Astyanax mexicanus: one gene and its partner. The protein of the gene in region 1 purifies or fractionates together with the protein of each later gene. This does not show direct contact. Links are inferred from orthologs where the notes say so. Each region holds a gene or a part of one and is shown in the gene's direction. Other genes may lie near its edges.

Region 1 (6,960 bases):
AGGTGATGATCATATAATGATATAAAATCCTTAAAGCAATCTTTTAATACCACTGATTTTGTTTAACCCAATGGCATTGTTGGTTAAAATATTTTATTTTCTGAGTGTAAGTATGTTCTATCTACAAAGATACATCTCCTTATTCTAAAAAAAATAATTACTCTTAATGAATTTAACATTTTAAAATATAAACAATAATGTGCCATGTGCAAAAAATGAGTGGCAAGTGAGCATGCTTTCCCACAAGGGAATGAATGTAAGTGCAATTCATTCATTTATGTGTAGGAGAAGGATACCTCTCCCACGACTTTACAGATGAATAAAGGGTTTTTTAGAATTGCTTATTAGAAAAGCCATCAAAAGACCAACTGTCTGAGCAGCGTGGGTGAATGAGAGACAGTGGGCAGTAGGACATGATGACTAGCCTGAGTGGTTAGCCAATGATTCGTGTGCACTGTTGCAGAAGCAGATTGCATCGTCTGTTCTGAACTAGAGTATAATATGACAGGTTATTAAGACTTTTTGATGGAACATCAAATTGAGCATTATATTCTTAATATGCTTTATAAAGATAAGGTTATGCAATGCAGTGTTTCACAATCCTTGTCATGGAGGCACACTTCCCTGCCTATTTCAGTGTATTTTATTTTAAATGTGCTGTTTATGATTCTGGAGAACAACTTGTTGATATTTAAACTCATTAGCATGACAAACACACCCTCTCAGTGCTCCTTCAGAAGCTCTACATTTTTAAATTCTTGCATGTTGTGGATTAGTTAGCTGTTGTTACAGTTGCTGCTGTTAGTTGTTATAATTTATCACCAACATTTGCAAACTGAACAAAACAAAACTATTTCTTTGGAATAGCAAACATAAGTAAGTATCAAGAGAGAATAGAGCAAGTTCCGCATTCCTTGTCATGCCTTTCTACACATTGAGGTCTCTATATATATCTTCATCTGATTAGTGTTGTGTAGCTCAGTCTGAGCCATTATGTTTGTATCCTAGAGTTGTGTATGAACACAGTTCTTTTCCAGCGAGTTAACAGACTGGGGAGCTAGCTATCTGCATGGTAACATTTGCTTAATTTTACAATTAAGGTTTACTGGATTAATATTTTATGCAGCATCTTTAATTGAACGTAGAGTGTAAACGTGACATTAACAAGGGTTTACATTAAAAGGTTTGCAACTCTTCTAATCAATTTTGACCCAACTGGCAAGATGATCCAAAAACTATACGACTACCTAATGCATTCCTTTATGATCATTCTGTCACCTTATAATGGAGTATATGGTGTTGCAGACAGTTTAGAATCCTTCAGTTGCAGTTAAAACTGACCACTCAGGCTATTCATCATGTGCTACTGCCCACTGTCTCTCATTTACTCACAGGACTCTGTATGCACACACGTGAATAAACAGTATGTTTGTGTGTGTTTTTTGTGGGTCTGTGTAACAGCATTATTGATGAGTCCTCGCCATGACATGTGCAATGAAGTGATGATGCTGCCTTCTGCATTTCTTTGTTTCTGTTAGCCTCAGTTGTCCAGTATTGCCTTTCAGTTTATCTGCGAACACTTTCAATGGAGGACAGAGTAACAATTCGAATCACCATGGTGACAGTAACTATGCTGTGGCGTCAGAGAAAAATGAGAACAGTCCAGGCACGTTTTAGACCCCCACATCACGGCTTCCAGTCACGCACTCTCATAATAGCCATGTGAAAAAAGAGCTGTCAAAACATGCTGAGGCAATAGGTGGTAGGACTAGACACACTTACCTCAGCCCACAGTGCTTCTCTTTACACTGCTGTACAGCACTGTTTCTGTGCTGCATCATTTTAAACACTGATCATTTGAATTCTGATACAATTTATTATTTAATTAAAATGACTTTTTTAATCATTTTTCACATAAAAACTCCCTTTGGGAGAAATCAGTTTTTTTTTTCTTAACCCATTAGGGTCCTTATCCAGTTCAAAATTGGATCATTGGTAAATTAACTGAGAAGCTCACTCATGTGTTTTCTTTTTGTATAAAGAGAGAACATGACTCTAAATATTTTAATCTTTAAACACTAATGTAACAGAAATTATACAATTTCATAACGTGTATTTGTTTGACATTCTGTTCTAGAGTTTGTGTCACAACTAGTTTGCATGTAAAACATTTAAAACATTTGTATTGTAAAATGGGTTGGAACAGACCTAAAGAAGCAAAAAATATTACGTGAAATCTAATCTCCAGCACTAACCTAGCACACCTACATTCTGTAAATAAGGTCAGATAAGCACAGTGACACACTGTCCTAATGCACACAGGATGTTCAGTATATGTCACTTAGGTCTTCATAAGTTTATAAAATCAAGGACAGACTGCTGTAATGAACTTTCACAGCTTTTTGTAAAGGTCTGTGACATATGCATGTCACCATGAGCTCTTTTAGTGCTCTGTTGTGCTTTATATATACATATTTCTTCATGCATAAATGCACTTAACTTAAATAGTTTGTGGGAAATGATTGAAATATGTTTTTGTCTGAAAGGGTCAAATAATGAAGTAAATGTATGTAAAGGATGTATGCAACACTGTACCCTTTTCCTGTTATGCATTCTTTTTATACTTTTCTGTCTCTCCTTACATTACCCATGGGTCGCCCACTCTCACAGTATGATTCAGTCAGTTTCCACCCTGAAAACTGTGGGTTGGCCAAACCTAAGCCACAGGCTGATAAAAATGTTTCATGTGGCTAAAAGCAAATGCTGTGCTGAGTCAAAGCAATCAAAAAGAGTTATGACCCTTTAAAAGAACGACATGTATTTGACAAGCTACTGCTTACTAGTCCAGTGCTCTGAATTAGAACAAGCAGCATGGGTGGGGTTCAGTTGAGGAACTGTTGAACTATCTGAAGGGTCTTGCACATAGAATAAATGTAGTAGTAGCAATATTTGATTAATTAGAGAAAGCACTGAATAGCTTTCTCTAATGCTTGTGTAACCTGATTTTTTTGCATGTGTGGTACCTGTCATAATTTTGTATCATTGCATTTATAAAAACACATTATTCCAGATGAAGGCAGCAAAACAATGTAAGAATTATTTATTGATTTATGGTGTACAATGCACTAGTACAGACATTTGAGAAGTTTAAATTAAACTATATGGACAGACTTATTGGGACAAATGTCTATTCATTGTTTCTTTTAAATTCAATAGTATTAAAAGGGTATTATTCTGTTGTCTGCAGTCCAGGAAAGACTTTCTACTTGCTTTTGTATTTGATGATTATTTGCTATAATGATTTGATTACATTCAGCAACAAGCATGTTACTGTCAGGATGTTAGAAGGTCACCACCTCAACTTATCTTTAACTGATGGAGCACCACCATTCCAGATAACACACCACAGCTCCACAGCTAGCCCATACCATTATACATGGTGCCAATAGGTTCATGTCCATCTTTACATGTTTAGCAGTAAACATCTTCTCTACAAGGGCTGGACAAGCTGTGTGCATGTGTGTGTGTGTGTGTATTTGCCCATCTGTGTCAGCAAAGGGTAAAACTTTGCTTACAGTAGCTGGATGCATCATTTATTAGAAGAAGTGTCCACATATGGACATACATATAGACATCACTTAGTGATTAAATAATATTAACTTCTTAAACTCATTCTAACTTGTATTCCCTTTTTCAGAAGACACCTATGATATGGCTCAGTGCTGTATACATATATTAATAAATCATCGATATTGGTAAAGAAAAACTGAGCAATAATCAAATCATAAATCACTCAGTGTATTCATTATTCTGTTGTCTTATTTCCAGTTAAAGACAAAAGGCCCGAAAACGAGTTAGACTTATTGGCTGAGCCGGTCGGGAGAGGAGGGTACTCGCCTCTGATTGGGTTAGTCGGGCTGCCCCTTACTGTTCGTGCGTCATTTCCGTTGTCAGGTGGTGCTGCTATGGAAAGATGTGATCAGTCCGACGGGACGAGGCTTTTCAGCGCGGCGACGCTTCGCTTCTCTAACAGCGGAATAAAACCGTCCTTTCTCCCACACAGCGCTGCGCGGCAGCGAGCCGACTGTTCCTGCGCCTCTCCTGAGTCCTGAGCTGAGATGGCGGCTGCGGTTTAGTAGACGGCAGAGGATCCCTCCCCCCCGGCGATTTGATCTCGAGGTGAGTGAGTGAGTTGTTAAATGGCCCGTCAGTCCGTCGAGAGGCGGCGAGCTGAGCAAACCAAACCAAGCCATAACCCAGCTGAACTGGAGCTGCAGAAACCGGCTTACTGCCTTCATAGCTTTTGCCGCATGTTTCACTCTGCAGGAAAAACTTAATTATTGTAGTAAGTTATAATGTTGAAAACCGAGAGGAGCTCGACCCTTACAAGTTCAGCTGGAAAAAAAGACAGAATAAAGTGTCGGCTGCAAACGAGGCAGCTAACCCCTTAGTTATTCTAGCTACCTTAGCTAGCCTAGTAGCTCAGTGCTCAAAACAACCCGGTGTTCTGTCGAGTTATGCTACTCATTCATATGTACTTCTTTACAGCACTGCTCATGCGCTAACCAACCTTTTTTTGTACTGTTTGTTTTTCATGATCATTCCGTGAGTTTTTATTGAGAGCATTAAACAACCTGCTCAGATGTTAAAACAATGTAAAGCAGTTAAAAATAATAATTAACTACAAAAAACTATAACTATAAAAAATACGGTTTCTAATCAAGTATGTGATTTTATTTTATTTTTTTTATTTTTTTACTTTAAGGTACTTGACAGTGATTTAGCCTATTCACATATCCTACCTAGTATTTTCCAATAAGGTGCTTTTTCTTGGTACTTTTACCGTTTTATATAAATTAAATACTACCAGGGTAGCACAGTTGAAGAAGGTAGCACAATTCGACACAACACCGGTCTAGTTTGTTCTAGAGGCGGAGCGGCAGTAAACGCTAGCTAAGCTACTTCACTAACGTAAAACTGACATTTTACGTCCAGTGTTAAACTAACCTAACGTTAGCTGCAGAGCTAACGTTAGCTAACTAGTAAACACTGGCCTGTTTATTCAAGCTGGATTGTAAGTTAGCTATACTATGATCTGTATACAAACACCCAGCGCGGAGCAGAGATCTCATTCCTCCTGTGACTGATGTGTTAGCTAGCTAAGCTAACCTATCTACAACTCTAGCTAGCTATTTACCGTTAACACTTAACACTGTAGCAGCAAGCTAGCGTTAGCATCATTTGATCCTTAATGATGCGAGCAAACCAAGTCCTGTCTCAGTTTAACCAGTTACGTTAGCTAAATATTGCAATAACGTGCGGGTCTCTAATGCAGTTTTAAAAGTATGTATCGCTGTAGGGTGAGCGACATTTTTTTGCTAGGAATAATACCAGATCCAACTACAGATCGTTTAAAGTCATTCTGACTAAACAATCTAAGCTACCTGGTCACCATATCCTTACTGTAAAATCTAGCTAGCTAGCTAGGTTAGTTCCTTGTCTAAATATTTGCAACTACATTTTTTGTTGTGAAAAACTGTTATTAATGTTTTGTACTTTTGAAATGTAGCTTAATTATCTACGGATTAGAGGGTCTGAATTTCTTTATAAATCAATAGCAACATAGGACCAGTCAAAACAACATTAACGTTATATGTAAGTTAAGTTAATAGATCTGTTTTTTTTGCGAGTAAATATAATTGCTGTGGAGGGAGCTGATATCTTAAACATGCTACTAGTGGAAACTGAGTTAGCGTTAGCTAAACTTGTGGTTAACTTTAACCTGACAACATAATGACCAGCGACCTGCAAGCTGACGCTTGCCTGCAGAAGACCGGTAGCTTTAAACGTTAGCCAGATAGTTAGTTAGCTGGTTAACTAGTCTAGCTACACTTGTCCCTGTTGGCCTAGTTGGAATTTAACTAACTCTGTTAGTGTTTGGTAAGAAAACTGCTTTACATGCAAGTGTTAACTAGCATTGATTGCCACACGCTGTGAAAACGTGTGCCTGACTCTAAATTTAGCTGCCTCGGTAGTGACACGGCCATTAATGAGCCAAAGCGCATTACACTCAGATGAATTACATCATAACACCACAACAGCCAACTTGCTACACAGTGTAGCACACGATTAAACACTCATGCAAGCATACAAGCATAATAGAAATGACCGTGAAATGTCTTTAATAAAGCTAGTTAGTTGTACCTGATTGTTATGCAATCTGCACAGCCTTTCACCCTCTACAGACTAAATAAGCAACCATACCATCCATTGTCTGAAGTCTTGAGAAGACAATTGTTGTACCTTTTTTGTTTTTGTATTTATACTGTTTATTTCATTCTTACAATACTGTCTCTTACTGCAAACATTGCTTGAATACATTTGCACTGAGGCTATAAGGCTAAAATGGCAAACATGTAATGGATTTGTATCCCCACAAGAGAGGGACAGATTTTATATCTATAGTAGTCTGACACAAAAAAAAATCAACAGTTGGAGCAGCAGGCTTCAGAAGTGGCCGCACTACTTGTTAATTATTTGTACAAGTTTGTTTTTCTGCATGTCATTCTTTTAACGGAGGTAAACATCATACAGTGGTTGGTTAACTCTTCACATGAAGTGTCCTCAGATTGGACTCTGATTTATATATCCTGGTTTTGAATGCTTGTGCAACATGCAGCCTGCCTTCTATAATTCCCCTTCATTTCTTTTTGTGCTTGATGTAAACACATGGTTTCATTTAGGAGCGGACAACAATAGTGGCTGAAATCTTGCTAGATAAAGCATGGGCATGGTGTCACTGGGCAAAGCTGTCACGCAAAAATCTGTTAATATCTCAAAGGGTAATGACCATGTGATCATGTCTGTCATCATGTCTGTCACATTGTCGGCAGTCTGGAGCTGGAGGAGAAAAAGAATCCCTGTCGAAAGTGAGAATTTATGTACGGCTGCAGCCAAATG
Region 2 (6,874 bases), on another chromosome or scaffold:
AGTATTTCCCCTGTTGATTCAGCTGCATACCAAGCATTATTTCTTTGTTTATTTCTGTGTATGACCTATTTTTTTGTCTGGCCCCTTTAGCTAGTTTACCTTGGTATTTTTGCTCTGTTTTTGACCCTTATTTTTCATCTGTCATTTATCCCTCTTTTTTGGTTCTGTTTTTACCTTAGGCTGTAATCAGGCTGCATTTCTTTGGTTCTGCCCTGTATATTAAAGTCAGACTTTTTTAACTGCAAATGTCTCACTCCAGTCTGTGGTGTTACAATATTAATACATGTTAATAGTTAATGTGAATGTTTCTGAATTCAGTTAATTAGAACAATCAACAATACAATATATTATAATATAATATACAATAACATGTTTTAATATATGCTTAATACACATTGAGCTTGGCTTGAGTGTTAGAATTAGAATAAAACATTCCAACCTTATATCTAAAACACAGCTACAGCTAAACATACAAGTCTTAATGCAATAATACGGTTCAAAAAGCTATGATGTAATATAAAGGATGCACATTGCAAACTGCAAAAACAGCTCTTTTGTATACATTGCAGCACACTACAAGGCAGGTGATCAACCAATCAGAGCAAAGTTATTTACACATAAGCACAGCAAGGTTTATTTAATTTCTTTTTTTCATTTTAATTAACTTCTTAATTTAGCTAACCAATTTAACCCACCCACACATTGGGACTCTCTCTATCACTTGAACTATTGCCAATGAGTCAGTATGCTCGGAAAAAAAGCTCCCAATTCCAGGAGACCAGCTCTGATACATCAGAGAACAGATGCCTGTGATGGCCAGTATGACTGTAAGAGTGATAAGGAAGAAAATGCCAACGTTGATAGCCCAGAATGACCTGGGATTCACACTCGTGATCCTTCAGGTCATAGTGACTTATTTGGCTGAGTCACTCAAGCTGGTTTGCTTCTAACAATAAACTTACAGTCCACTTGCACTTTTCTCAATGCATTTCACCACGCCAGATCTCTTGGGTCACCACATGTGGATGTGTCTGTATTTTTTTTTTTTTTTCATGAAAATGAAGCAAACCTAGAAGTAGGCAAACTTTATTTGTAAATTAATCATATTTTTATTCTGGAAATCCAGATGCTGATGATGTAAGCTGTTTCGTTATGTTTGAAAGACATTTGTTCTGTGCATGATGCTATGATATAATATGGTATGATGCACCAACCTACTCTTTCTTGATTATACACAATGCGACCAAATTCATTCCCAGGCTGCCCTTACTCAATATGACTTGTCATCCACTGTGCACATATGGAGGCTGTCCTCATTAGAATAAATATAATACAGTGAAGAGGCAAGTGAAAATTTTATGTTTTAGCATAGGGGTTCTCAATTGGTCTCAGCCTGGGACCAATTTTCTCATGGTCATTAAGTTGCAACCCACTTTTATAGAACACACTCCAAAATTGTTTTTAAATAGCCTCAAAAAAACAATTTAAACATACATATGCTCGCAAAATGAATTTAAGAGCATTTTTTTCTAATAAACTGAGGAGGAACATGACAACTACATAGGTTAAAAAAATAAAAACTGCACAAAATAAAAAAAGGCCACACTGAAGTGTTTGTTTTTTTTGTGCACCAGGAGTGGCATAAATATATCCAAAAGCAGTGTGTAAGACTGGTGGAGGAGAGCAGCCAGAATGCATTAACACTGTGATTAAAAACCAGGGTTATTCCACCAAATATTGATATCTGAACTCTTTATGACTCTTTATATCTGAACTTTATGAACATGAACCTGTTTTCTTTGCATTATTTGCGGTCTGATAGCTCTGCTTTTTTTTTGTTATTGCAGACATTTCCCCTTTTCTGCAAATAAATCCTCTAAATGACCATATTTTTATTTGGAATTTCGGAGAAACGTTGTTTGTAGTTTATAGAATAAAACAACAATGTTAATTTTACTCAAACATATATATATATATATATATATATATATATATATATATATATATATATATATATATATATATATATATATAAATAGCAAAATCAGAGAAACTGATTCAGAAACTGAAGTGGTCTCATTTTTTCCCAGAGCTGTGGGTGAGAAAAAAGATCCTACAAAATATTACATACGGTCTTGTTGTCTATTTGTCCTGTCTTGATATGGGCCTTTAATTGGGCCAATTCACAATCTGTAAAAACACTGACCTGTCCAAACAAAAATGATCTGATCAGAACTCATCAGCTTATTGCTAAGGCCTTCCTGGATCAAGTGGATCGGGTGTATCAGTTCCTAAAATTAAGCAGGGCCTCCATGCAAGGGTCTCCTGCACAGACATCAGGAACCCCTGATTTAAGCCATGCAAACCATCTGAATCATAGACTGTATATAAAGATGGACGTCGTGTCGCCGTTCCCATTCATTCAATGAAAATGAAGCCAAAATCTTCCGCCATTTTGGCGATTCAGAGACCAGAGTCTGCACAGTAGAGACCAGAGGAGGGAGAAAGGCTGTGGAGAGACCGCCTACTCATTTAAATAACCCCGCCCCTGAGGGCTGCCTCGCGGTCACAGACTGCAGAGCGGGGCGGAGCGGAGCTGACGGTCTGTTATTGGTCCCGCCCATAAGCAGCCCTTTTACCATAACCACACCTTTTTTGAATAGAGCCGAATAAAGTTTTAAAAACTGAATTCTGTGGGGATATAAAAATTTGACAATATAAGCAGAGGTTACACTAGCTGTTGCATTTAAATAATGGAGGTAGAATTACAGTATATTAGAAAAAAACGTGATTGAAAGTTGTCTGTTTTGCCATTGAAACCTATGGGGATGGGTGGAGTTACACAGCTTTCTGCAGCCGAACAGCAGGGGGCGCCCGACCTGTGGTGGCTTCACTTTTAAGAGACGATGCTCTGTCCAGCTATATACAGTCTATGATCTGAACCATGTTAAGCGCTTGGCCTACAAAAGGCACCTCACCACTCCCCAGCTTTTCCTCTCAGAGCAGAGATGAGTCACATGAACAAACAGGCATCGCTTAAACATTCCTCTAACGTCCACCATTGCTGCAGTTTCCTTTAAAACAGATGCACTGTACACAGGCAGGAAAGCGCTGGAAATCACGGAAAACGCCTTAAAGAATTTGAAAGCTGTGCCGCATCTGAATGAATGATGAATTAACGAAGAGAAAAACAACAGCAGAGCAGCAGTGCGTTTCGAAATAAACTAGGTTAATCATTGCCCCAGTGCCACACACGTGTTTCCACGAGGAACACATTCAGTGAAAGCTGTGTGTTATGAAGGCAGGCTTCAGTGTTGTTAATGTTGTTCTCCTGTGAGATACATGATATGGGATATGTGCAGGAGCAGCAGCAGCGTGTCAGATAAATCCTGTACATCCTGCAGCAGTTCATAATTATTACTATCTGAGAGTGGCAGCAGAACCAAATGATGAAAATGATAAAAAAAAAAAAAAAATCTAACTGAAAGTGGAGTTTTGTCATTCACCGCGACTCTGCTTGGCTACGTGTGGCTGATTGCTCAATCAAGCTGAGCTCATTATGTGACATGGGAAAAGCGAGCTGAATGGCGTTAGGTGGTTTATTTTTATATTCCACCCGTTTTCAGCAAACCCCGCCTCTTGTGCATTCTTATTGGCTGGCAGCATCCAGCCTCCTGCTCTGTACCTTATTGAAAAGCGCTAGTAATTAGTACTACAAGTGCGTGTAGGTGCGTGTGAACTACTACCGGCCAATCCCAGTGCGAGAGGCGGACGCTGCTAGCCAATCCGCTTGCGTGGAGGGCGGGGTGTACCGCAAAACGGGTGCGTTCGAAAAATAATAACGCCGCTCTAAGCGGGCGGAGTTCCAGCTGTCGTCGTGTGCGAGAGCTTCAACATCACACGGGCTTTTTAACGGAGCGGCTGCGGAGACCGGGGGTTTCTGGAGGTCGTCTCTGTTTGTGTTTTGTTTCCTGGGATCAGCTGTCCGTCCACACACTCCAGACTCGGCCTGAGTGATGGACTGAACCCGCTGAAGCGGCTAAAAACAGCTTTGTTTTGCGACTCGACTCCACTTTTTTTTGTCTTTCAGCGAGAAAAGTTAGTTTAGCTAGTTAACCTCTCTATTCTGCAGGAATATATGACTGTCTGAAGTCGTGAATGTGACACCACGGAATACCCCCCTTTTCCAAGGACTGACACCCACCCCCTTTTACCCCTCTTTCACCCGCTCTTTTACCCCCTCGGCTCCACCATGGTCGTGCACGGCTGCAGCGGCACCACCACCACCAGCAGCCCGGCGCCCACCTGCGCCCGGCCGGGCAGACGCGCTCACAAGCGCCTGGACAGCGACGAGCCAGTGGCTAAGTGCCCCAGGCTGAAGCTGAACGAGGCGGCTGCGGGCGACCCCGCTGCCCTCGTGCCCTCTCCGGGATGTCCTCCGAGCGGAGCCTCCCCGGGGTCACCCCCGGTCCCCCAGGGTCCGTCTCGAATCGGCCGCTTCCTGCTGCTGCCCCTGGCCGAGCGGGCAGGGCTCCACAGCGCGCTGGATACAGTGACCGGAGAGGAGCTGCTGTGCAAGGTGAGCTCAGCTATTTAACTAGTGTTTTGACTGACTCCTGGTCAGCACTGAGCGGATCAAACATCAGCATTATGATAATGAAGTGTAGTAATGCATTTATGCTATGCATTAAAATGACTCTGGTGTATCTGGTGAATAAGGTATGCACTCTATATATATGCTATCTATAAGGTGCAACGTTATATATATAGGCGTATATACTGTATACACTCATTCATTTCAATCATATGATGAATCATATATCATATATACATTGAATCATCTATACACTGTGCAAACAGTTCTAGCTATACACTGCAGGGCTGTATGAGTGGGAAGAACCTTGCAATAAATATCATGATACATGACGATAGTGTTATATGTTGCAATGCTGCAAACAAACCAGAATACCACAATTTTTAAACAATAGAAAGAAATTTCATGGAAATTCTCACAGTATAAATACACACCACAATATACATATTCTGAGGAAGAGTAAAGTTTGTTTTATGCAGTCTGAATATTGATACTATGTTGTTGAGATCAGTTTGATCAGTTGAATCAATCTGGGAAAAAAATTGGAGACCATTTCAGTTTTTGAATCAGTTTCTCTGATTTTGCTATTTATAGGTATATGTTTGAGTAAAATTAATTTTTTTTTAATTCTGTACACTACGGTCAACATTTCTCTCAAATTCCAAATATAAATTTTGTCATTTAGAGCATTTTTTTTTTTCAGAAAATGAGAAATGGCTGAAATAACAAAAAAGATGCAAAGCTTTCAGACCTCAAATAATGCAAAATGCAAAAATGTAAGCAGTTAAACTTGGTTTAATCTTAATTTAATTTCAAAGGTTTAATTTGGTAAAATCAATTTAAATGGTAAAATAATTTGTAAGTGGTCTCTTATTTTTTTCAAGAGCTGTAAATATATTGTTTCTTACACTCCTTATAAAAAGGTTGATTACATGGAGCAAGGCCTGATTGCACACATCACTGTTTGAGGTGTGCACTGTGCAATCAGTGATTCACACTGTAGGTAGGATTGGGCAATATTGCAAAATTATTATATCCTAATACTCAAAGAGATATTGTATCTGTCCAAACGATCCCAAACAAAAATCTCTTCCAATAGAAATCAATGTAAATCGATTTGATTGAAGTCAGTTCATTCGTCATTTATACATCAGGCACTCATGCTAGATTTAAGCTATCCCACAATGTGAAAAACTGTGTATGGCAATAATTATATGCATAATTTTGATACATAATCATCATGCACTGGTGGTGCCAGATTTAAAAACCATCAAAAGCTCCGGTACAACAGATGCAATTGGCTTTCAATTAATCAGGACTAATTATGCCATCAGTAATTAATTACACACACAAATTGAGTTGTTCACTATGCACTGTCAGTAGCCATGGAATGCTCAGAAACCATATTGTCACAATAACAACATTTTACCATCATATTATCCACCTCTGCTTCAAACCAAAGCATTTTGTGGAACCAACTGCTCAGATTCTTCTTAGCTCAGCAGTATTGCTTTGCCAACAATTATTAATTCGCTTCATGGCACAGTTCCGTTTTTTTATTCGTTTTTTTTTAGGTAGGGATCTTCACATATGGTTTAGCACATAAAGGATATAGGCTAGAGCAAATTCAATGTGTGTAAAATGGCCTTTCACTCAGAACATTTCACTCAGAGCATTTCACACACAGTCATTTCACCTGCCTGCTACTCCATGCAGTTCAAACTCTCCAACCCTTAGCTTTAAGCATAGCAAAGACTGGCATGCTTCCTCTAATCTTAGTGATATTGCTTTGCCAAGCATTAAACGCAGGCATCACTGCATAACAAGGTCTATTTTAGACCTAGAAGCCACACATGCAACCCATATAGGCTGCAGCAGATCCAAGCGATGTGTAATTACCACTAAATGTGAGACTTCACACCCTCCATTGTGTTGATAGGAGTTATTTGCATGCGTCAGCCACAGAGAGCTGAAAAAGAAGAAAATATTTCAGGCAAACCAAGGCTGGCGTCGTGCACAAACAGAAATAGACATTGTGCCTTACACTATAAATGGAGAAGTGGGGTCAGGCTGATTAAACAGCCAGCAGTCATTGATCCCTACTTGCTGATGAGCACTGTGGTGCAGGCAGGCAGATGAGGCTAAGCCTGGCCTTCAACAGTAAGCTGTCTCCATCTGACAGGGCGAGGGTTAGTCTCTCATTCTGTTCACATTAGATGAGTTTTTTTGAGCATGATCTGTGCTGATTAAGAGTCTATATTACGTTTAAGTTTAGCTGAA

The links. Proteins that work in one complex are often made in the same cells at the same time.
Region 2: the proteins of stk40 (region 1) and trib1 purify together in Homo sapiens (affinity purification with mass spectrometry; 3 studies listed by BioGRID and IntAct, counting the BioPlex papers as one, with this or other methods). This does not show direct contact. The link is inferred for Astyanax mexicanus from reciprocal best matches to the Homo sapiens genes STK40 and TRIB1.

The regions. Positions count from the first base shown.
Region 1 is NC_064413.1:33,630,279-33,637,238, reverse strand, and holds the start of stk40 (serine/threonine-protein kinase 40), read left to right. Parts: upstream 1-3,950; 5' UTR 3,951-4,179; intron 4,180-6,960. UniProt on the Homo sapiens protein: May be a negative regulator of NF-kappa-B and p53-mediated gene transcription.
Region 2 is NC_064410.1:43,228,754-43,235,627, forward strand, and holds the start of trib1 (tribbles homolog 1), read left to right. Parts: upstream 1-3,851; 5' UTR 3,852-4,252; coding exon 4,253-4,579; intron 4,580-6,874. UniProt on the Homo sapiens protein: Adapter protein involved in protein degradation by interacting with COP1 ubiquitin ligase. The COP1-binding motif is masked by autoinhibitory interactions with the protein kinase domain.